Caenorhabditis elegans: one gene and its partners. Each later gene encodes a partner of the first gene's protein in a complex. Each region holds a gene or a part of one and is shown in the gene's direction. Other genes may lie near its edges. The genes, in order: eif-3.I, cif-1 and eif-3.E.

Region 1 (8,438 bases):
CCAGAAAATGAGCTCAACACTGGCCCTCTTCACCGCCATCGTACTCATGGCGTCGAGCACAGTTTTGTCCCTAAAAGTCGGTGACGACTGTGATCTCGGAAACCGGCGCCGAATCGGCAAGGGAAGTTACTACGAGGCATGTGTGAGCAAATACGAGACAGCCGGATGCTTTGCCAGTTGGGAACAGGACGAGAAATCGCAATTCGTGAAGAACGAGGAGACAATCGATCGAATGTACAAGAATAATGCCGTCGGATTCAGATATAAATGTGAGATGAGCAATGGATACATCTCGTTTGCTCCGATTGGTTGTGTGCTCAATAAGAAGGCGGGGCTTGAGCTGTTGGAGTTGAATGCCAGCGGACAACTTGATAATAGACAAAATGTGAAATGTAAGCAGAATAACGAAGGAGAATTCAGTTTTGAATTCGGATCAGAAGCTCAGAAGAAGAATTAATTGATTTTTTAATGTCTTTTTTCGAATTTGGGACACGTTTTTGAGCTTTTTGAGCTAATAAAGTTGATTTTTAAGCATTTTTTCATGATTTTAAGGTAGAAAAATCGAATTTTCACCAAAAAAAACTGGGAAAAAACGCAAAATTGTTCCACTTGTGGAGGTATTCTCATGTTCCCGTGGAGTAGAAAAGCCTAAGCCTAAGCCTTAGCTTAAGCAGTTGAGCTTCATCTCAAATTTGTGATTTTTGAGAATTATTTAAAGCTTCCGATTGAACAAAACTGCACAATTTCTGAAAAACGTGCTATTTCATCGTATTTTAGCTTAAAAATACGATTTTTTGCTCGAAAAATCGCTATTTTGACCAAAATTCAACGGAAAATTCAATTTTTCCATTAAAATTCCACTGAAATTCATATTTTTCGAGGTAAACCGCAGGTTTCGTTTGCTCCGATGAGCTGTTAGAGTTGAATGCCAGTGGACAACTTGATAATGGACAAAATGTGAAATGTAAGCAGAATAACGAAGGAGAACTCAGTTTTGAGTTCGGATCAGAAGCTCAGAAGAAGAATTAATTGATTTTTTAATGTCTTTTTTCGAATTTGGGACACGTTTTTGGTGCTTTTTGAGCTAATAAAGTTGATTTTTGAGCATTTTTTCATGATTTTAGGGTGTAAAAACCTAATTTTACACCAAAAAACTGGGTTTTTCGGATGAAAAATGCAACTTTCCAAGTTCCTTTGGAGCTTCCGAGCTTCATCTCAAATTTGTGATTTTTGAGAATTGTTTGAAGCTTGCGACAACACAATTCCTGGAAAACGTGCTATTTCATCGTATTTTTGCTTAAAAATACGATTCTAAGCACGGAAAGTTGCTACTTTGAACGAAGTTCAACGGAAAATTCAATTTTTCCATTAAAATTCTACTGAAAATCATATTTTTCGAGGTAAAATCCAATTTTCGCAGATTCCATTTGTTGATTTTTAAGCATTTTTTTAAAATGATTTTAAGGTGAAAAAATCCAATTTTCCCCGAAAAACTGGACTTTTCTTAAGAAAAATGCTAGATTTTTCCAGTTCTGGAAAGATTCCCACGTTCCAGTGGTGCTTTCCAGCAACTTTTTCACAAATTTCTGTTTTTTTTTTCAAAATAAACTGCTTTTTTTTTTAGAAATTATATATTTTTTGAGCAGAAAAAGTGAAAATTTCGATATATATTAGGCCTAAAATGGAATTTTTTGAAGAAAATTCAGAAAAAAATTAATTTATAAAAGAGAAAAATCGATATCTCAGCTACCGTAAAAGCTTTAAAGGCGCATAGCAAAATTTAATTCTAACTTTAGAGACTGTAGTTTTCGCTTCGAGACCACAAGCTTATTTTTCGCTCTAATTGGCTAAAAATTAACTTTTTCGAGGCAAAAATTTCTGGAATTAGCTTTAAAAAATGTGAAAATACATATTTTTAACCTAAAAATTCATGGAAATTTCTATAAAATGTTTTTTAAGGATTTTAAAACGTTTTTTTCAACAAATTATCGCAAAACCCCACATTTTTACTAAGAATCTGTGTGGCATTTCTGATGAGTGCTGGTGATTTTGTCAGTGACGAGAAACTGCGGTAAACTGCCTGAAAATCAATATTTTACCGGAAATTCTCGGGTTTTTTAACGATACCTGCGATCTGATAGTGTTTGACGCGTTCCGTAGGCCAGCTATTAGTCGTAATTGTAACATTATCGATCTCTGAAAACTGGATTCGGTGAAGCTTTCGCAAAAAAATCGATGAGAATTGAGAGTTGCGAAATTTAGCAGTTATTTGTGGTGGAACATGTTAAAATTTGAGTTTTTAATTAATATATTGCTAAAAATTTGATAAAATTCACTTTTTAATTGTTGAAAACTACTGAAAACCACTCGAAATTGCTGAAAATTGCTGAAAATCGAAATTTCGTCAGCTGATGTCGATTATTCTGCGCGGGGGTACGGTACGCAAGTCCGCAAACACTGTCACGCCAAATTGCGGAGGTTGAGCCAAATCCTATTTCTTGTTGTTTTTTCGCTTATTTTTCGAATATTTCCCATGTTTTCTGGCTTCTAATTTTCATTTTTTTAATGGAATTTATTAATAATTAAGCCAATAATTCATTTTATAATCAAAACTGCCGAATATTCCACCAATTTCTCGCAGAAACCTTCAAAAATAGGGGATTTCTTTCAGAAATGCGTCCACTTTCGCTGAAAGGCCACGAACGTGCTCTCACTCGGGTCCGTTTCAATCGTGAGGGAGATTTGACGTTCTCCTGTGCTAAGGACAAGAAGCCATGCGTTTGGTATACTGAAAATGGAGAGAGAATCGGTATTTTTGAATATTTTCGCGAAAAATTTTCGCAGAATTAAAGGTGGAGTAGCGCTAGTGGGAAAATTGCTTTAAAACATGCATATGGTACCACAATGACCGAATATCATGATTAAAAATTTCAAAAAAATTTTCTAAATTTTATATGATTTTTTGAAAATTGAAAAAATCTCAGTTTTTGCCTAATTTCAATTTTAATTACCGCCAATTGGATTTGTTCGATGGAGCGCGCTTGCACGTTTTTAAATTTATTTATTTTATTTATTGTTATTTTCCACCGATTTTTAATGTTTTCGGTGTATTTTTGCTTGAATTTTAGAGAAAAAGTCAAAAGAATTGCAAATTTTCAATTAAAAAGCACGCTTACAGGCGTAAATCAGTGAAATTTATTAATTCAGGTTCGAAATCGTTTAAAAGCGTTACTTTTCATTTTTTACGCCTCTAAGCGTGCTTTTTAATCGAAAATTTGCAATTATTTTGACTTTTTCTCTAAAATTCAAGCAAAAATACATCGAAAACATTAAAAATCGTTGGAAAATAACAAAAAATAAAATAAATAAATTTTAAAACGTGCAAGCGCGCTCCATCGAACAAATCCAATTGGCGGTAATTAAAATTGGAATTAGGCAAAAACTGAGATTTTTTTCAATTTTTCAAAAAATCATATAAAATTTAGAAAATTTTTTTGAAATTTTTAATCATGATATTCGGTCACTGTGGTACCATATGCATGTTTTAAAGCAATTTTCCCACTGACGCTACTCCACCTTTTAAATATATTTATTTATTATTTTTCTTTTCAGGTAGCTACGACGGGCATAACGGAGCCGTGTGGGATATCGACGTCTCATGGGACACTACCAAGTGTGTCACCGCGTCCGGAGACCTCACCGTGAAGATTTGGGATGCCGAGCTCGGCAACTGCCTCTACACAATCAACCATCAGACTCCGATGAAGTCGTGCGGATTCTCGTATTCAGGAAATTTGGTGTGCTTCACCACACAAAAGATGACAAAGAATCTCTCGACGTTCCAAGTCCGAGATCTTCGTGATTCAAGTCAAATGGTTGAGGGTGGAGAGTCATTCTTCTACTCACAATTCGATGTGAACGCCACGACCGCACTTTTCACTCAGATGGATGACCTCGTGACGATCGGATTCGAGTCTGGACTCCTTCAGCAGTACGATTTGAGAAATCCGGATACACCAATTCACACTAACGAGAGTGTTCATCGTGTTCGTCATTTTTTCGTTGTTCTCTGGAGCGCTTGCTGACACTTTACGATCTCCTGAATTGGCGGAAATTTTATTGCTAATTTTTGGTTTTTATTGTTGTGGGGAAACATTATTAGAGCCGAAAGTGTGTACAATTTGGAAAATTGGCGAAATTTCGCATTAAAAAACCGTGCGCGGCACAGTTGCGAAGAAGGCGTGCCAGGGTTGCATCCTGACTCCGCACACAAGATTAAAACCAAAAATTCGAAGAAATAATTTAGTTTTCTCGAAAAATGGAACAAAATCGGCAGTTTTTTCGATTTGAAAGCCGTGAAAATCTCATTTTGAAGAGAAAAAGCAGCAAAATCCGGCAGTGATTGATTATTTTGATTATTCTAATTTTTTTCAATGAAAAAACCAATTAAATCAATTAAAACTGTATTTTTCTCTACAAAAAATGTATATTTTAAAATTCTGAAATCAAAAAACTCCCGATTTTTGATGTAAAACCTTAAATTTTACGCGTTTTCGAGTCGTATAAAGCTTCCCAACAACAATATCCATCAAAAATTTATATTAATTTCCATAGAAACCAAAATTAGCAAAAAAACCTTATTTCCCGTGGAAACAAAATTCCGCGAATTCGGGAGTTCGTGAGGTGTCAGCAAGCGCGCTCCAATGATTATAAGACCGAGGCTCCACGAAATTCAAGATCTTGTGGAATTCCGGATCTGGCACCGTACCAACTCAAAAAAAATTAACGCAATTTTTCTGGAAAAAATCCTGACAACGATGCTCCGATGTTACGCATCGCGTGTTGTTTAGCGTTTTTCCTGAAGAAAATTTAAAAAAAAACCACATTTTTCTTCGAGAAAACTGCGAAAACTGCAGTTGGCACGGTGCCAGATCCGGAATTCGACGAGATCTTTAATCCGTGGTGCCTCCGTGATTTCTAAAATAATTTCAAAAAAAAAATTTCCCAAAATTTCAGTACAGCGTCCAAGATCTCCAACTATCACCACGCGGCGATTTCCTGATCTCCGCTTCACGCGACAAGACGGCCGCCCTGCTCGACGTGAACGATCTGAAAAAGCTGAAACAATACAAATCCGAGCGTCCCGTCAACTCGGCATGCATCTCACCGAATCGCGATCACATTTGCCTTGGAGGAGGAGAAGACGCGATGCAGGTCACACAGACGTCTGTCTCTGCTGGACACTTTGAAGCCAAGATCTATCATATGGTGTTCGAAGAGGAATTCGCCAGATTCAAGGGACATTTCGGACCGATTAACACGATGGCCTGGCATCCATCGGGCACAATTATCGCGACTGGAGGAGAAGACGGTATGGGGATTCCACTGCAACTTTTTTTTTGAACGAGGGACGAGGAAATGCGGTTTCTAGGCCATGACCGAGGATCCGACAAGATTTATCAGCAATTTATCTTGCTTTGTTTTCCGCGTTTTTTCTTTTATTTTTCACCGATGTTTCCCCCGTTTTTTCTTATTAAAACTGATGAAGAAATATTGTTTTTGCAGATGCTAAAATAATTTTCAAGTGAAAAAATTGTGAATTCAGCCGGCAAGTAGCGGTGGAAGTGGTCAATGTAATATGATGGATTACGGGAATACTAAACCTAAACTTTCTTCCAAAACATGCTATAAATGCTGCTTAGATGCTGAAACTACCTGATTTTAATAACGAGACCGCTGAAAAAGTTTTGAGATTTTCAAAATTCAACCTTTTTGGCGAAAAAGTCGAGATTTTTCCACAAAATGTTGAATTTTGAAAATCTCAAAAAACTTTTTCAGCGGTCTCGTTATTAAAATCAGGTAGTTTCAGCCTCTAAGCAGCATATGTATCATGTTTCGAAAAAAGTTTAGTGTTTAGTATTCCCGTAATCCATCATATTACATTGACCACTTTCACCGCTACTTGCCGGCTGAATTCACAATTTTTTTCACTTGGAAATTATTTTAGCATCTGGTTTTAAAAAAATTTATTTATCAGTTTTAATAAGAAAAAAACGGGGGAAAAATCGGTGAAAAATAAAAGAAAACTCGCGGAAAACATTGCAAGATAAATTGCCGATAAATCTTGTCGGATCCTCGGCCATGGCCTAGAAACCGCATTTCCTCGTCCCTCGTTCAAAAAAAAGTTGCAGTGCGATTTGAGGATTTTTCATATAAAAATTCAAAAATTATTGATTTTTTTCCAGGTTACATCAGAATTCAAGAGTTCGACGAGGACTACCTCGGCTTCACCTACGATTTTTAATTTGTTCTACGTTTTCGTTTTCTTCCTGTTTCCCGGGCGATCGTATTTGCCAAAAAAAGACCGTTTCCCCCTTTTTCCTACTCGTTCCTGTTGAAAACCGCCTAATTTTAGAGTTTAAATGACGAATTTAAGCCTATGCAGTTCGGAAAACCTTTAAAATTTATCAAATTCTAAAATTACGCGGTGGTGATTTTCTGTTTTTTCCATTTTTTCCATATTTAAGATCAATTTTCGGTGGCTTTTAATTGTTTTTTTTTTCATAAATAAATATTATTTTGAGTTAAAATTGATCTATTCCCTCGAATTTCTTGGTTTTAATCTCCAATTATTATATTTTTAAAAAAAATTAATTTTTTCTCAATTAAAAATTAAGAAAAATTGTGGGCGGAGTCAGAATGCAACCCTGGCACGCTTTTTTCGCAACTGCCGCGCACGATTTTTCCTGCAATTTTTAAATATTTTTACCCAATTTTCAGCGTTTTCAATGCCTCACACAAACGGAAAAGGCGGCGGAGCACAGAAATGGGCTGGAAATAATAAAAGAAAACGAAATTTCGATGGCGAGCAGGATCCAAGTGTCAGAAAAGCGTTGAAGGAGAAGCGGCTTCTGAAAAAGAGAAAACAGGATTTAAAGGGACAGGAGGAGACAATGCTCGACGAAGTTGAGCAGAAATATCAGGAAATGCTCAAGGTAGCTCTAAAAAATAGTTTTTTTATTAAAAAATCGATTTTTCCAGAAAAGCTCCCGCACATTTCTCCGCTTCGAGGATTTCCCGCTCTCCTGGAGGACACTGGAGGGTCTCAAGGATAATGACTACACAAAACCCACAGAAATCCAACGGGACACGATTGCCTACTCTCTGACCGGCTCAGATGTCGTCGGAGCCGCAAAAACCGGCAGCGGAAAGACTCTGGCACTGGTGATCCCCGTGCTGGAGGCTCTTTGGCGAGCAAAATGGTCTCCAGACTATGGTCTCGGAGCGCTAATCATTTCACCGACACGAGAGCTGGCTCTTCAGACATTTAGCACAATTAACGCCGTCGGAGCCCATCACGGATTCTCGTGTGGCTTGGTTATCGGCGGAAGTGACGTGGCATTCGAGAGAAATCGCATCAGCGGGATTAATATCATCGTTTGCACACCGGGACGTCTCCTACAACACATGGATGAGAATGCTCAAATGAGCTGTGATTCGCTTCAAGTTTTGGTGCTCGACGAGGCGGATCGAATGCTTGATATGGGATTCTCGAAGCAGCTCAACTCGATCATTAATAATTTGCCCGCGGAACGTCAGACGCTGCTCTTTTCGGCTACTCAGACACGAAATGTCAAGGATTTGTGCAGAGTTTGCACAAATGTGAGGGATTTCGCCCGGAAAATTGAAATAATTCCGGAATGGTTCATTAATTGAATAGGAACACGGAAAAATCGGCAATTTAAACACGTTTTCCACGTCTAAGAATTCGATTAATTTCCCAAAATCTCAATTTTTGCTTAAAAATTTATTCTCAAATTTTAACACTAAAAAAAATCCAGAAACTAATTTTTCCGTGCCTTAAAACTCAATTTTCTTGGAAAATAACTCTCAATTTTCAAAAATTTGCATGAAATTCGTCCAAAAAACTTCTAAAATGACTTTTTTCGATTAAAATTTAAAAGTTCGGCTCTTTTGCGACAAAAATGCGGTGATAAGCTTCTCTTTTTACTTTTTTGATATGAAAATCTGCAAAAACTGGTCAATTTTAAGTCAGAAAATTGGTATTTCACACCAAAATACCAAAATTGGCCATAAAATACGGTATCCGGTCTCGACACGACAATTTTTGTTCAATACAAATGGCTGTGCGCCTTTAAAGAGTACTGTAACTTTGAATTTTTGTTGTAGTGGAGTGGAATTTATATTTTTGTTGATTAAAAAATTGAGATGAAACTCAAATTTTAACCGAAAAAAAAAGAAAATTCCATGCTGCAACGAAAATTTGGAATTACAGTAATCGCTTAAAGACGCACACCCGTTTGTATTTACCAAAAAATTGTCGTGTCGAGACCGGGTACCGTACTTTGGACCAATTTTGGTCTCTCCGGCTGAAATACAATTTTTCTGACATAAAATTGGCAAGTTTTTGCAGAATT
Region 2 (8,494 bases), on another chromosome or scaffold:
ATAGTTTATATTTTGCTTAACTGTTAATTCAATCGACTAGATGCTGGTTTTCTAACACATTTTCGGCTGAAAACCAATTTAAATGAGCATTAATGAAAAATGGTGAAAATGCAAAATGGCCGAGTTTTCGTGGCCGGGTGGCCGAGGATTTTCTCCGACCACCGCGCGGAGTTTTGTGGAAACTGCGGTCCCTAAAAACGGGATTTTAATCATTTTCTTTTACTAAAATATCATTTCTATTATATTTTTATGCAGCTACCGCTAGTACACAATGTTCAACAGCAAACGAATCGGAAATGTGGCCTTAAAAACGGTACGTGCACCTCGGTGAGTCAATTGCTAGTGGGTTATTCTAATTTTTCGTTTTTTTTCAGAGAAAGCTCATTCGTGGATTACATCACCGACTTAAACGCGAGAAAACAGCTGCAACACTCGTATCCAACGGACCTGCTGTCTAAATGTAGCGAAGATTTGAGGTTGAACTTGTGAATGTTACGAAATTCCGCAAATAATCCATTTAATTTCAGGCAGCTTCCACCTTATGTGTATGCTGGTTTCGATCCAACTGCTGAGAGCCTTCACATTGGAAATCTTCTGATTCTCGTCAATTTAATTCGTGCACAGCAGTTTGGAATACGTCCAATTGCATTGATCGGAGAATTCACTGCCAGTATTGGAGATCCGAGCGGAAAGAAATCAGGTTTTTACCTAGAAAAGCGCTGAAAACTCAATAAATCATGACCTTCAGAACGGGGTCTTCTGGCCGGCGATGTAATTATGCACAACTCGAGGAAAGTAACAGATCAGATCTGCAAGATTTTTGAGAACGCGCCGGGATCAAGCGAGAAGCCGATCATCGTGAACAATAATGATTGGCTAGGAAAGGTAGTCATTCGGCTTGCTATGATGAGAAAGAAAATGTTATATTTTTCAGATTAGTCTACGAGATTTCCTGAGAGAATGCAAGAATATGCAAGTCGGAAAGATGCTTCGAATGAATACGATAAAGAATCGGCTGGAAGTTGGATTATCGTACACTGAATTCAGCTATCAAACAATGCAAGCATTCGACTGGTACACGTTATCCGAAAAGTATGGATGTCGATTCCAGCTTGGTGGATATGATCAATTGGGTCACCTGGACTTTGGAGCTCACTATATTAAGAAAATGATGAATCAAGCCTTCGCTGCAGGAGTATGCTTCCCGATTCTGACGGATTCTACTGGTGCCAAGCTCGGAAAGTCTGAAGGAGGAGGTGCGCTGTGGCTTGATGCGACGAAGACGTCTCCGTTCCATTTCTATCAGTTCTTCGCGCAGCTTCACGATGACAAAGCGGAAGAGCTTCTGTTACTTTTCAGTTTGCAAGATATCGAACATATAAGAGATGTTCTGAAGAATCATAGGAGCAATCTTGGACAATGGATTGCTCAGAGGGAGTTGGCCGCCGAAATTACTCGAATTGTGCACGGAAAAGAAGGTTTAGAAGTGGCGATGCGGTGTACAAAAGCAATGTTTGGAGCCAAGAAGGCTGATTTATCGGGATTGTCGAGAAGTGAAGTATTGCAATTATTCAGAACAACAATTGACTTGAAAAAGGAGAATGTAAGCATCAAAAAATTAGTTGTCGAAGATTTTATTCTTTTTCTTCCCAGGTAGCAACAATGGGCCAACTCGCGGACGCATCTCGACTAGGCAGTGGGAAAGGTCATCTTTTGATGCAACAAGGAGCATTTTCAGTGAATGGAGAGAAGAAAAGATCTCCATCGGAATCAATAGCAGACGTTTTCCTGGAAAATGCCTCCGATCTCACCCTTGTTTGTTGGGGAAAACGAGGTTACCAGCTGGTTCGATGGGTTTGAATAGGTTCAGTTTTAGTTGTTATAATGAAAATAAATATTCATTTTTTTGTTGTATTTGTGGTGTCATATTCTCGGCGTTCTCTACGCTTTATTATATCTCTTTTTCTCGTTTCCAAGCATATTTTTTGTATTTTATTCCTGAATAATTTTCGGCTCGTCTCTATTCGCATGAGCGGAGGAGTAGTGCACAGCAAACTTCAAAAGCTCGTTCTCTCCACCTACCGTGATTTTTTGCGCGCCTCCCGTGGCCGTGACCCGAGCATTCGCACGCATATTCGGCACGAGTTCCGCGCCGCTGCAACACGTTTCGAGCCAAGTGACCTGTTGCTCATTGAGCATCATTTGAGAAGAAGCCAGAGACAGCTGGAAGCGATTCGGAAAGGACACATTGAGAAGATCGCAACGGTTGATAGCGCCGCGAAATAAAGGTGAATGAGTTGAAGTTTGATGTGCATTTCTCCTTTTTGCTCGTTCACAGTTCCATATTTTCTAAACTGCATGTACAATATTTCAGATGGCTGACACTCGTGAGCTTCCAGTTTTCGCCTACATTGATGATGTCAAGCAGCTCCAAGAGCTCCGTCAATACCTCAACAAGCACGATAGTGTGAAGCTTGATCCAAATGGTGCGGAAAACTTGTAAAGCTGATTTTTTCGATATAATAATTATGGATTAATCCAATCTTTTTGGATCTTTATCATTTTCAGGTCGATCGACTCTTTTTCAACATTTCTGTATCAATTTCTTTCTCAAAAAATTGAATATATCATGTGGAAACGGCAATTCTACAAAATTTTCCTATCGCACCATGTTGTTCCCACTTTTTTTAAAATTTAAATTGTTCTAAAAATATATAAAATCAATTGATTTGGCCTTAAATAGTATTTATTTTAGTTTAAGCATTTGAAAATTGCTTACAAATTGCCATTTCTCAACTAAAATCAACGATATTTTCAGATAAACAAAGTGATTTTCTATGTTTTCACATTATTTTTAATGAAAAATGTTAGAACAACATGATGCAATAGATCATTTTGTAGAATTTCTCCCATGGAAATACGTAAACTTTCAGAAAAGATTTGCGGTACAGCCCTGCTTCAGAATTTGGATTTAAAAAATTTCAGGACCATCAGAGACCGCCCAAAACATGATCGAAATCTGCTCCACTCTCAACGTGCTTCCTTCATGGTCCCAGGACGTCGATCTGGTGCTCAACTCGATATCATCTCTTATCGTCGTTGTGCCAGGCGAGAAGTGTGAGCCAGTCGTCGACTCATTCATCAAGAATGTTGCTCCACAATTCTACAAGGGAACCGGATGGGCTAGTCACGCCGGAATCGCCGTTCGTGTGCTCTCGAATTTGTACAAGGGATACTCGAACTTCCATACTGTACAGGAGAAGATCTTCAAGGCGCTCGTTGATATGTGCGCTGAAGCAAGACTCATTGGAGAGCTGGAATGCAATCTTGAGACTCTTCAAGATAGATTCAACACATGGAAGACGCCAGTCGAGGGACAACGCGAGATCTTGAGAGCAGTTCATCGTGCACTTCTTGTTGATCAGAGAGTTGATCAGGCTGCCAAGGTGGGTTTGATAAAGAACTATCGGTTTTTATACTTAGCTAGACACAAAAACTGCCTTTAAAAAAATTATGGCGGTTAAATATTGCTTAATTTCTGCTAAAGTCTTCAATTTTGCAAACTGTCCCGTCTCGCGGCTTGAACACAGTTTTTATTGAATCTTGGTCTCTTATCTCACACTGTTTTGTTGTTTGCGGTACATTTGAGGGTGATGTCACCAAAATGTTCAAAATTTGGCCAAAAACCCCAAAAGTGGACAAAAATGCCAAAATTTCGCCAAAGAATGAACAAAATTCGATCAAAATTGAACCAAAATGGCCAAATTCCACTAAAAATTGAGCTAAAATGACTAAATTGAACGAAAAGCGCGAAAAGTAAACCAAAAATGACAAAATTTCTACTGAAAATGGCCTGTAAAGTTGGCCAAAAAGTGGACCGACTTTTGTCTAAAACAACAAAGATTGGACCAAAATTGAACCTTTTCTTCATAATTTGAAGTTTCCATAATTTAACAAAAAATTACCGAAAACCACCGAAATAAGTTTATTTCTGACCGTTGGGACACGAGAAGTTGGCAAATCAGAGATTTTAGCTGAAATTAGCGAAATTTTTCGAGAGAGATTTAAATCGCCGTAGAAATTTGAGAAATTTTTCAAATCACGAAATTTTTTTTTGAGTCAATACAAGCTAAAACGCCAAAATCATAAGTCCTCATAACCTTTAAAAAAGTGTTTCCAGGTTATGACTGCACTTCTCGGAACATACACAGAAAAGGACGCTGCCGCAGCACGAGATGATGCTATGGAATGTGTTAGAACTGCTGTCGTCGATCCGAAATCATTCTCCTTTGATCATCTCGAACGACTCAGTGCAGTCAAAGCGTTGAAGACTTCCGATCCACTGATGTTCACAGCTCTCGAGTTGTTCATCTCTGGAACTCTCAAGGATTATAAGGAATTTGTTGCCAAGAATCCGAAATTTGTCACCGAGCACTTGAAGGTTGACGAGACTATTCTTCTCAAGAAGATCCGTCTTTTGACACTCATGTCGCTTGCTGAAGAGAAGAACGTACGTTTGGATATTACTGGGTCTCGCCACGCTCACAACGAGTTACTGTAACTCGTTTCGAAAATCTTGGCAGCAATTTTATTGAAATTTATGATTCAAGGGAAAAGTTTTAGTGTCAAAATAACACATTTTTATCGTTTTTCGACTGCAAAATTACAGATTTTAAGACTAAATAACGGCTTTGGCGAATGATATTACATAGACGATTAAAGAGGAGAAAATGGGTCTCGCCACGCTCACAACGAGTTACTGTAGCTCGAATTACGAACTGCTTATATGTTTTTTTTTTATTTTCGCAGAAATTTTTCATTTACCTTCCAATCAAAATTCAAGAGCACTTCTAAGCTGAAAACCTGAAATGTAAAGCTAAAAATTATAAATTGCAAACTTTTCGGATGAGAAACATCCATTAATGTGGATTTCCAGGTTAAAAACATGCAATTTTCGTAAAAATTTTAGTGTAAAAATACAAAAAACCAAAATTTCACACTTTTTTACTGCAAATTTGCAGATTCTAAGACTAAAAAACGACTTTTTCCGAATGAAAACCCGGCCAAAAATGAGGATTTTTAGGTTAAAAACCTGTCATAATCTCTTAAAATTACAATAACTCGTCTCTAGGAAATCTCCCGAAAAACCTATAATTTTGTGGAAAATGTTGAATATTCCATTTCTGTAAAGAGCGAAATCTCGAATTTTAACAATTTTTCAGTTAGAGAAAGCTCAAAATTATTTGAACACCTTTGAATGCGAAAATGTTGAATTTTCGTTGAAAAATTGGATTTTTAGCGCGCCGAGACCCATATTGCAAAAATGTGAAGTTACGATACAGTAACTCGTTGTTTGCGTGGCGAGACCCATATGGAAACGTCGGTTGGCTATATAACATTTGAAACGTCCGAATTAAATAAAAATTGCTGAATTTTTCAGGAAATCAGTCTCGACGAATTGGCCAAACAATTGGACATTCTTGCCGATGAGACCCTCGAAGAATTTGTGATCGACGCGATTCAGGTGAACGCGATTTCCGGAAAAATCAATGAAATGGCCCGAACTCTCATCGTCAGCTCCTACCAGCACAGAAGATTCGGAACGGAACAATGGGTTCTACTCGAGGTATATAATATTTACTCGTTGGGTTTCCATTTAAAAATTGATTTTTTTCCAGAAACGCCTGAAAGTCCTCATCGCAAATCTGAAGCAAACGCACAACAACGTCCATGAAGTGAATCAGAGAATCGAGGCTCTCTAATTGTTTTTTTTTCGCTGTTCTTTTTAATATATTTGTTTTTGGTTCTCCCTATCGTATTTTCTTCCCATGAAAGTCCCCCGTTTTGTTGGTTCCCTCCTCTATAATTTCTATCTCTCTCTTGAAAAATTTCCCCATAAACTGTTGATTTAAAAAAAGAAAATGTTCCCCACTCTTCTGACTTAATATGGATTTTGTTCACTTCGAAACCCGATTATTTCTATTTATCCGTCGCTTTATCTTGTTTTTTTGTTATGCGATAAGCACACGGGCGTCTCACTTTACACTGATGCTCGTGGAGCCGGAGGGACAAGAGATTAGTCTCTTCCGCTTCGATGATAATCAGATGTTTGTCACTTGACGGACGAAGCCAATCTTTGTTCTTAATTTTCAGAGTTCGGAGAAACTAGCCTTTTTTTGAAGAAAAGTCCAAAAATTCTGCTAATGAAAACGGGAATTTTAGTTAATTTTCCTTTTTCTCAAATTCTTTTTGAAATTAAATTTAAAAAATTCGAGTCATATTTAAAAAAAAACCATGCCTTCTCTATTTTGCACATTTTAGAAGTTACTGCCGCATTTTTTTTCCAGATTTTGGTACATTTTCAGTCGATAGGTGCACAAAAATTGGAAATTCGTGCGCCTATAGACTGTAATTGTACCAAAATATGCGAAAAAAATGATCTACAAAATTATTTTAAAAGCTGAAGCTACGTGATTGGAAAATTTGGCTCCAAAAAAATCGAAAATTGACTTAAATTCAGAAAATACACAAAAGAAAAACGAAAAAAATCGGTAAAGAATGAAAGATTCTTTTTTTTCAAGCGAATGTTTAAAAAATACTTGGTACTCCTGCTTGAATTCCCTCCGAAAGTGAGAGCTGGGACCAATCAGCGATTCGCTCCGGCTACTTCAACCCTCTGATTAGTGGAAAAGTGGGCGGCGCAAATCTCTGATTTGTTGAATATCTCACATTGACGAGAATTTAACCAAAATTGAAAAATCAAAAAGAATTTGGATTTTCCATAATTCCGGTTTTTTTTTGTTTCTCTATCGTGATTTTTCTGAATTTGGGTCTGAGGGTGTCGATTTTTCAATTTTTCACTGAAATCTAATGATTCAGATTTTTCAAAAAAATATCTTAACATTTTTTGGACGAATACATATGTTATCTTAGTGTTTTTCTTTTTATCAATTCAAACAAACTTCGTTAAAAATTGTATTTTAATGTTAATTAACTAAAAAAAATTAGATTTTCAATATTCCAGAAAAGTCGAAACATTCTCCGATGACACCATTTTTTGAGATGTTCTTGAAATTTTTAAAACCAAATTTCCAATCATTTTACTTCATCTTCAAATTAAAGAATCAAACTGATATTTTTGTAGGTTCTGTGATGCTTCATAAGTAGAACATATTTCTAATACAAAAGTAGTTTGTATATGTGTGTATATACGCGTATCCGCGCAGCCTGTGTTCATCAGTTTCTTTTTCTCCTACTCCTCCTACTCCTCCACCGAAATGCGTCATATTCTCTGGTTTTTTCTCTCTTTTTCCCTCCATCTCTCTATCTCTCTCTCTCTCTGTCTTTGGCCGATTGGTGCTGCTGGGCGCCCCTCGAAAGCGAGCCGCCCGTGAGAGTGTTATGAAACATTGACGAGACGCCGAGAGGCATGAGAGAAGGGGTAAACCCCCGGGCGAACTGTGTGAAGTTCTGTGCTTAATCACCCTCCTGTGGATCGTTCGATGATGAGATGATCTTGAACACGGGCGGTGTGTATGTCCACTCTTTTTCTCTCCTCTCTTCGTTTTTTTTGAATACTCTCAATTTGTTGTGTCTGCTCCTCAATTTCCTTATGCAGCTTCTTCTTTTTTGACAGCTTTATTTTGCACAACGGAAAGTTATCCTCTTGTTTTTTTTTGTTTATAGGTTTTCGCCCAATAAAAGCAAAACAAAAACCAGTTCTTCGGAAATACTTTCGATTTAAGTGGTGATGAAAAAAAGAACATTTTGTGATGTTAAATGATGACTAACAGATCAAAATTGTTGTTTTATGGCCCCAAAAAAGCTGAATTTCAGAACGAAACTTTTATGGAGGTTAAAAAATTCTTGAATATAGCTTGGTTTTTTTTAAATCTAAAACCTCCAATTTCGCCACCTTTTCCGTTTCGCAGAATTCAGAAAGTGATTTTAATTTGATTATTGTCCTATTTTCTGCATATTTGGATTGTTTTTCTCACGGGTTTTCGATAATTTAGTTGCATTTGAATCTAATTTGGACACAGAAAAAATGACGAAGTTGTGGGTTTTTAGCTAACAAAACATTTTTAAGCAAAAACCGTCATTTATTTTTTGAGCGATTTTTTAAAGTCTCGTTATGAAATTCAGTTTTTTGAGTTCATTGTATTTAGTCCTCACTAAAAAATTCAGAACGAAATGCACTAAAATCATATTTAAATAAATATTAAAAAATTAAATGAATTAAAAAATTTTTAAAAAAATTCGTCCGTCCAAATCAAATTTCTCTCATTTTTTCCCAAACTTTTCATTTTCATTCCTGAGACGTCTATCAAACAGAAGGTAATTATTTAAGTGATAGTGAAAGCTCCGTATGCAAAATTTCCATCTTTTTCCACATTTTTCGGTGTGATAAGACAGAATTGTGATTAGTGGTCTCTGTTCAAAATAATGCAAAAAATGACTAACAGATATTTTTTTCTTGCAAAATTTAAGATCT
Region 3 (6,456 bases), 8.2 Mb from region 1:
TTCGGTTTTCCTGAGACAGGAACAATCGGAGTTGCAGGTGACACAATTCGAGTTGCCAATACTTTTGGTGGCTCATTGGGTTTCATGTAGTACGGTTGAGTACGGAGCCATTCAGATTCACAAATTGCTTTGTAGGTCGGACGGTTCGGTGCATGTGGCTGGAGAATCTCAAGGACCAGAGCCTTCGAAAAGACCGATGATGTGCAACTTTTCGGGAATCTGAAATGAGAAATTTAACTTGAGTTGTCTTTTAAAAAAAAACTACTTAATTTTATGTGCCAACTGTCTCTCGATCATTTTCCTTGGGTCACGATCATCAAATGGCATTGATCCAGCCAGCATTATGTAGAGAATGACCCCAGTACTCCATACGTCAACTGCATTTCCAGAATATTCTCTGCCACGAAAAATTTCTGGAGCCACATATGCTCGCGATCCACAGAATGTTCCAGATTTTTCACCCGGTTTCAGAATTCTCGAGAATCCGAAGTCGCCGAGCTTCACATTTCCATGTTTATCCATAAAGATATTTTCGCATTTGAGATCCCGATGCACAATGTTATAGGATTGCAGATGCTGAATTTATAAATTTAAGAAAAACAGTTTTCTGATATAAAACTTACAGTAAGTGCTGCAATAAGTTGACGAAATGTGAACTTTGCATCTTCCTCTTTCATTGCCACGATATCCTTCATTTTACGGAGCAAATCTCCTCCAGCACAGTACTCATTGACGAAGATGATGTGATCTTGAAATGAAATCATCTCGTACAAACGACAAATATTATCGTGTTTCAAGAGCTTGACAATCTCTTTTTCACGTGGCAAAAACTTTTTGATGTAGTCCTCTTTTTCACGAGTTGGCGTAATGTTGATGATTTTCGCTGCAACTTCGAGCTTTTTCTCTCCGAAAGTTGCGCGTGCCACACGGGAATAGGAGCCACTACCTGTAAATTAATGAATTATAAATTGGAATTAATTTCCAAATGATTACCGAGAACTTTCTCAAATTTGAGCTTCCAGACCTTCTCGAGTGTTGGAGCAAAAGCTTTCGTTTTTGGACTCAGTTCATCAGGTTCTTCTTGGTTCTCAGAAACATCTGAAAATTAGTTATTTTCTCTGAAAATCTGCATAAAATTCTTACCTGTATTGTTTTCCGTTGCCATTTCAACAATTTGCCAGAGAAATATGAATTCAAAATACTGCGAAATTGGTCGATTTTGGTTCGATGAATATTGATTAATAGATTTTTCTTCTCGATTCATCAGTTCATCAAGACATTTTCACGTTTCACGAAAGGTCACTTTTTTTTCGATTTTTCCTTGATTTCTCCGTAAATTTTCTTTGTTGAAAATGTTTAATTAACATTTTATCGGGAAATAAAAATGTTCGCTACTAACTATTTGCTTTCTGGCGCCTGTTACACACCTCATAACATGCCTAATTCCTATAATCTGGATTCGATAATATTATAGGTTTCTTTAAAATGAAGTCTTTGAAAAAGCATGGATTAGAATGAAAATATAAATAATATGATAATTTGAGAGTAATTGAATAACATATACATTTATAAAACAGAGGGTAAAATGGAGTAGTGCTAGTGGGGGACATTTTTAAAAATTCGAAAAGACCCAAATATCAAAATATAACATTCCAACTTGAAAAAAAAACTGTTTGCACCCAAAAAGTTAAGATTTGGCAGCTGGAAATCTACCAAAACAGTTTTGAACAAATTTTAGCGGTTATTTGAAAATTGAGATCTAAAAATTGTTTGCCTTTTTTATTTTGATATCTTGGTCAATTTCAGTGTATTCTGACATAACAGCAACTGGCTTAAATTGAATTAATAGTTATCGTTTTTCCATACAACAAAATCAAGGCATTCTTCGATAAAATTGACGGTTGCAATTTGTCCATCGTCGCTCTCAATATCCCATCCAAGTGTACAATCCAATTCGTCTATTTTGTATCTGAATGTTATTATTTTTCAAATAAAATAATTTAGCTTTTTTCCTTTAATCTCTACAGTAGATAGGTAGCAAGAATTTCTTCAATTAGTATGGCACCCCATCGTTCACGGTTGAGAGCTTATATCTCGGTTGTTTTCAAAAATAATTAACTGATGAAATATTTGGTAGTTCTTTTTATATCGTTTTGTAGTTAATAGTTTTATGATATCTTTGAAATGAACCGAGATATAACCTTTCAAAGTAAAGTAGTCTGTTGAACTAATAGAGGAAATACGGTATGTCAAGATCTTTAGAAACAATATGTGTAACCAAGACCCACAAGTCAAACTATATAGTCAGGTTTTGTTTCAACTGGGTGGCACACTACCCTCAAGAATCAGGGCTCTTCATGTAGCCCACTCGCCAGCTCTACGACAAATAATTTATATTCTCACTTGAACACTTTTGGTCTTCGCTTTCCATTCCACGGTCTGTGAATAATTCGATGCATTACTCCTTCATAGTTTTGAGGTCCATATGAATTGAATCGTATTCTTCGTAGATTCGGCATTCCTCCTGACATCAAATACCCGAATTTAATGTTGATCAAACCGAAATGGGGCAACCTGACACCACATGAATTTACGGTCTCGTCTGTTCCCAAAAATTAATAATAAAGCATTCTAAATTTTACTGTTCGCTTTTCTGTGCATTTCAAAATTTGAAATTTCATAAAACTTGTGTCTCTGACACATCGGTAAAATTTGGCACACTATTATTGAGATCGTTGCGGGACCCACTCGAAAAATTAATATGTGATTTTAAACTGACATTTCACAATTACAATATTTAAGCATTGCTTTAAAGCCACACAATGTTTTTCGGGGTGGGTCTCGATACGGGCTCGGGTCTTAATATCTTGTAACTCTTCCTAATCCCAGGAACATTATGATTCGTTCGTAATTTCTCAATTTGAATATTTTAAATTAAAAAACTTTTAACTGAAATTTTAGAACCAAAAAACTCCGAAATATTTTTCAAATGTCGCAAATTGCAGTTTTCGGTTATTCTTCTCGTAGTTCTACTTCTCGCAGTTCTCATTTCGCTGGTGGCTCGTGTTGGCAGGCAGTAGCAACGACACTCCGATATTCCATAGCGCGCGTTGTTTATCATTTCCTCCTTTCCCGGCGAATTTCTCCTAATTTCTCGATTTTCTTTCTGCAATTTCATTGTTTTTGTTTTATTTATGTTTTCCGTTAAGAAAATTGATTGGAGTTTTATTAGAACATATTACTATACTAATACGCTTATTTTACAGGTAAAAATGTCGACATTCGACCTGACTCAGCGCATGGCGCCTTTTCTCGATCTTCATTTGATCATTCCGCTCTTGGAGTTCATCGAACCACGAGGAGTAAGATTTAAACAATAAATTGTTGATTCTGAAATAGCTGAATTTATTTATATCAATGATAATTGCAGATTTACGATGAGAAATCCCTGACCGAAATGCACCGCCAGCTTTTGACCAAGACCAATATGATTGATAGTGTTATAGAGACCTACAATGGAAAACCTATTCCGGCTGCAATTGAGGCTAAGAAGAAGCAAATTATCAAGGAGAGAGATGAGCTGAAAAGCAAGGTGGACTCCGTTGTTGCCATTTTGGAAATACCGGAAGTCAAGGAAATGATGGATAACAACAGAGAAAGAGATGGAAATGTCCGTATTTTGGAGCATCTCACTCAAAACCACAATGTACGTTTTTGCTTTGCAGTTTCGAAAATAATCTTAATTCTTGCAGTTCACAGTAGACATGGTCGATACCCTCTTCAAGTACAGCAAGTTCATGTACGAATGCGGAAATTACACCGTCGCATCCGTGTGCCTTTACTACTACCGCAACCTTGTCAATCAAGCGGATCCAAACTATTTGAACGCTCTTTACGGAAAGTTGGCCAGTGAAATTCTGCTCCAAGAATGGGAACATGCTCGTGACGATTTGCTGAAACTTCGTGCTTACATCGATGCTAATCCATTCGACACGGAATGGGAACTTGTTACGCAACGTGCGTGGCTTATGCACTGGGCACTTTTCGTCTACTACAATTATCCAAAAGGGCGTGATGAGATTATCGAAATGTTCTTGAACCAGCAACCTTATTTGAATGCAATCCAAGTTTTGGCGCCACATTTGCTCCGCTATCTGGCTGTTGCCGTTGTTACCAGCAAAAGCCGCCAGAAGAACAGCTTGAAAGATTTGGTGAAGGTCATTGACATCGTGAGTTTAACTATTTTCTATATGAAAATATGATTAATTATTTGTTTTTCTACAGGAACGCCATAGTTACAAGGATCCCGTCACTGATTTCCTCACCTGTCTCTACATCAAATATGATTTCGACGAGGCTCAAGAGATGCTTCAAAAGTGCGAAGAGGTTCTCTCCAATGATTTCTTCCTGACTGCTGTCCTTGGAGATTTCCGCGAGTCTGCACGCCTTCTCATTTTCGAGATGTTCTGCCGCATTCATCAGTGCATTACCATAGAAATGCTAGCACGACGATTGAATATGAGCCAAGAGGAAGCTGAACGCTGGATTGTTGACTTGATCAGAACGTATCGTATCGAAGGAGCTAAAATTGACAGCAAGTTGGGACAAGTGGTGATGGGTGTCAAATCCGTCAGCATCCACGAGCAAGTCATGGAAAACACGAAGAGATTGACCCTCCGCGCTCAACAAATCGCCCTTCAATTGGAAAAAGGTCGTCAAGACAAAGTCAAGGCGACTTAGGCTTTACAAGTTCTTCCGGTTTTGAATGTTTTTTCCTTTTTCTTCATCTGATGCTGTTCTGAAAATTGAGATGTGGCAAACACGGAGATTAAGACTGTCATCTCTCAGTTTTCAGTATTATTTTTCTTTCTTATTTGTTCAGCTCCTCGGTTTTTTACGAGGACTACTCGAATTCTGTCTTTTCTAAACTTTCCTTATATCCCTGTTGTTTCTTTTTGTTGTCTCTGACCCTTCTTTCGTTAGTGCAGGGGCTGGAGGTTCGGTTCTAATTGGTTAAAATAATATATTTTCTCTTTTATCATGGTTTGATTATTGTTAGAATCTAGGTTTATGAAACCTTTCAATATATATTTATTGCCGTTGCCGAGAAATTGTTTGAAATTATTTTTTGTGAGGAAAAACACTTCCATCTGTATATTTTGTCATTTCTGTTGAATTTGCCTTACTTTTTCGCTAATTACAGAAATATTTAAGCCATAGGTTCGATTTTGCCGTTTAAAAATTAAATCTCCAAAAATACACATTTTCGCCAATTCACAGTTTTTATGAAATTAAATAATTTATCTCACTCTTTTTCAGTATGTCAATGTTACGGCGTCCATTAACACAATTAGAATTGTGTGAGGACGATATCCAATGGCTGACAGATCAACTGAACAAGAGGGTACTTCCAGCTGTGATCGTGCCAAAATGCGAAATGATGGATATTGACGAAATGGAGCCGATGGATCAGAGTGAGCCTCCACGTGGCATAACTAGGAGAAATCTCAGATCGGCGGATAGAAGTGAGATGATGATTTATTTAATTTTTCCTAACCTAGCTTTTTCAGAGAACAGAGACGTTCCAGGACCAAGTACGGGAGAGTGCACGCGTACTTCCATTGCACCGGTAATTTTTTTTTTTAAATTAAATGTTTTAAACATTACCTTTTAGAATCGATGTGAAATGTCATTCACTGAAGTGCAGGTGACATAATTTTGTGTTGTTGGTGTTTCGAACACTTATTTCTATTCACTTTTTCATATTTATCTTATGGCTATTCTCCGTATTTCCAGACTTTAACATCTGCTCGAACTCCTGTCGCTGCTCCAACTCTAACACTTTCGACGCCAGTCAACCCTGTCTCATCAGCTGAAATGTTGAGAGTTATGCCACCTCGTGTAGGTCGACGTCCACGAGCTTCTCGTTCTGGTGACAATGATTCGCCACTCCTCTTCAACGCTTATGATACACCACAGCAAGGAATCAATGACGAATCTCCAACACCCTCTGACTCTCCCGAATCTCCTAATGCTCATCTCTATGGTGGTCAATGAGTTGTTGGAGGAATATTGTCAATATTTTATTTTCAGCTACTCCCGGCAATCCTACTTCAACTTCTGGAGGACCTTCTTCAAATACACGATCTCACAGACACTAACAACTACTGGTCAGGGTTGTGTTTAGGCAAACGTGCAAAACCCGCTTATTTCAATATAATAATTCACTTTTTGATCTAAAATTGATTTAGAAACGTAGAAAAACTTTTAGAGGTCTTCTCAAGCTTTTCATTAAAAGTGAACCGTTTTATACATTTCTATATTTATCAATTTTTAATTTTTTAAAAACTTGGATTGTTATACTGAAATTCGCAGTTTTACACGCCCTGCTACTGATCTCCCTTTCAATTCCAACTTCCTCAGCGTGCTTTCTTCTTTTTTCGAACTAAATAAATT

What was found.
Region 2: eif-3.I (region 1) and cif-1 share a complex: the UniProt entries of both Caenorhabditis elegans proteins name them as parts of the eukaryotic translation initiation factor 3 (eIF-3) complex.
Region 3: eif-3.I (region 1) and eif-3.E share a complex: the UniProt entries of both Caenorhabditis elegans proteins name them as parts of the eukaryotic translation initiation factor 3 (eIF-3) complex.

The regions. Positions count from the first base shown.
Region 1 is NC_003279.8:2,483,196-2,491,633, forward strand, and holds eif-3.I (Eukaryotic translation initiation factor 3 subunit I), read left to right. Parts: upstream 1-2,665; 5' UTR 2,666-2,673; coding exon 2,674-2,809; intron 2,810-3,612; coding exon 3,613-4,046; intron 4,047-5,016; coding exon 5,017-5,371; intron 5,372-6,245; coding exon 6,246-6,304; 3' UTR 6,305-6,592; downstream 6,593-8,438. Other genes in the region: abtm-1 (Iron-sulfur clusters transporter ABCB7, mitochondrial), read right to left, coding at 2,003-2,080, 2,128-2,187; Y74C10AR.2 (Conserved secreted protein), read left to right, coding at 8-457; ddx-10 (ATP-dependent RNA helicase), read left to right, coding at 6,789-6,995, 7,042-7,662. UniProt on the Caenorhabditis elegans protein: Component of the eukaryotic translation initiation factor 3 (eIF-3) complex, which is involved in protein synthesis of a specialized repertoire of mRNAs and, together with other initiation factors, stimulates binding of mRNA and methionyl-tRNAi to the 40S ribosome.
Region 2 is NC_003282.8:4,704,274-4,712,767, reverse strand, and holds cif-1 (COP9/Signalosome and eIF3 complex-shared subunit 1), read left to right. Parts: upstream 1-2,012; 5' UTR 2,013-2,288; intron 2,289-2,374; coding exon 2,375-2,486; intron 2,487-2,985; coding exon 2,986-3,446; intron 3,447-4,180; coding exon 4,181-4,510; intron 4,511-5,440; coding exon 5,441-5,626; intron 5,627-5,678; coding exon 5,679-5,762; 3' UTR 5,763-5,914; downstream 5,915-8,494. Other genes in the region: yars-2 (Tyrosine--tRNA ligase), read left to right, coding at 272-327, 375-476, 528-700, 749-885, 935-1,603, 1,654-1,860. UniProt on the Caenorhabditis elegans protein: Component of the eukaryotic translation initiation factor 3 (eIF-3) complex, which is involved in protein synthesis of a specialized repertoire of mRNAs and, together with other initiation factors, stimulates binding of mRNA and methionyl-tRNAi to the 40S ribosome.
Region 3 is NC_003279.8:10,639,092-10,645,547, reverse strand, and holds eif-3.E (Eukaryotic translation initiation factor 3 subunit E), read left to right. Parts: upstream 1-3,266; 5' UTR 3,267-3,272; coding exon 3,273-3,362; intron 3,363-3,430; coding exon 3,431-3,706; intron 3,707-3,752; coding exon 3,753-4,229; intron 4,230-4,284; coding exon 4,285-4,740; 3' UTR 4,741-5,025; downstream 5,026-6,456. Other genes in the region: tag-344 (Protein kinase domain-containing protein), read right to left, coding at 1-219, 266-576, 624-946, 994-1,098, 1,144-1,264; B0511.17 (DUF4283 domain-containing protein), read right to left, coding at 1,843-1,969, 2,404-2,519; cdc-26 (Anaphase-promoting complex subunit CDC26), read left to right, coding at 5,321-5,525, 5,571-5,629, 5,797-6,049, 6,094-6,161. UniProt on the Caenorhabditis elegans protein: Component of the eukaryotic translation initiation factor 3 (eIF-3) complex, which is involved in protein synthesis of a specialized repertoire of mRNAs and, together with other initiation factors, stimulates binding of mRNA and methionyl-tRNAi to the 40S ribosome.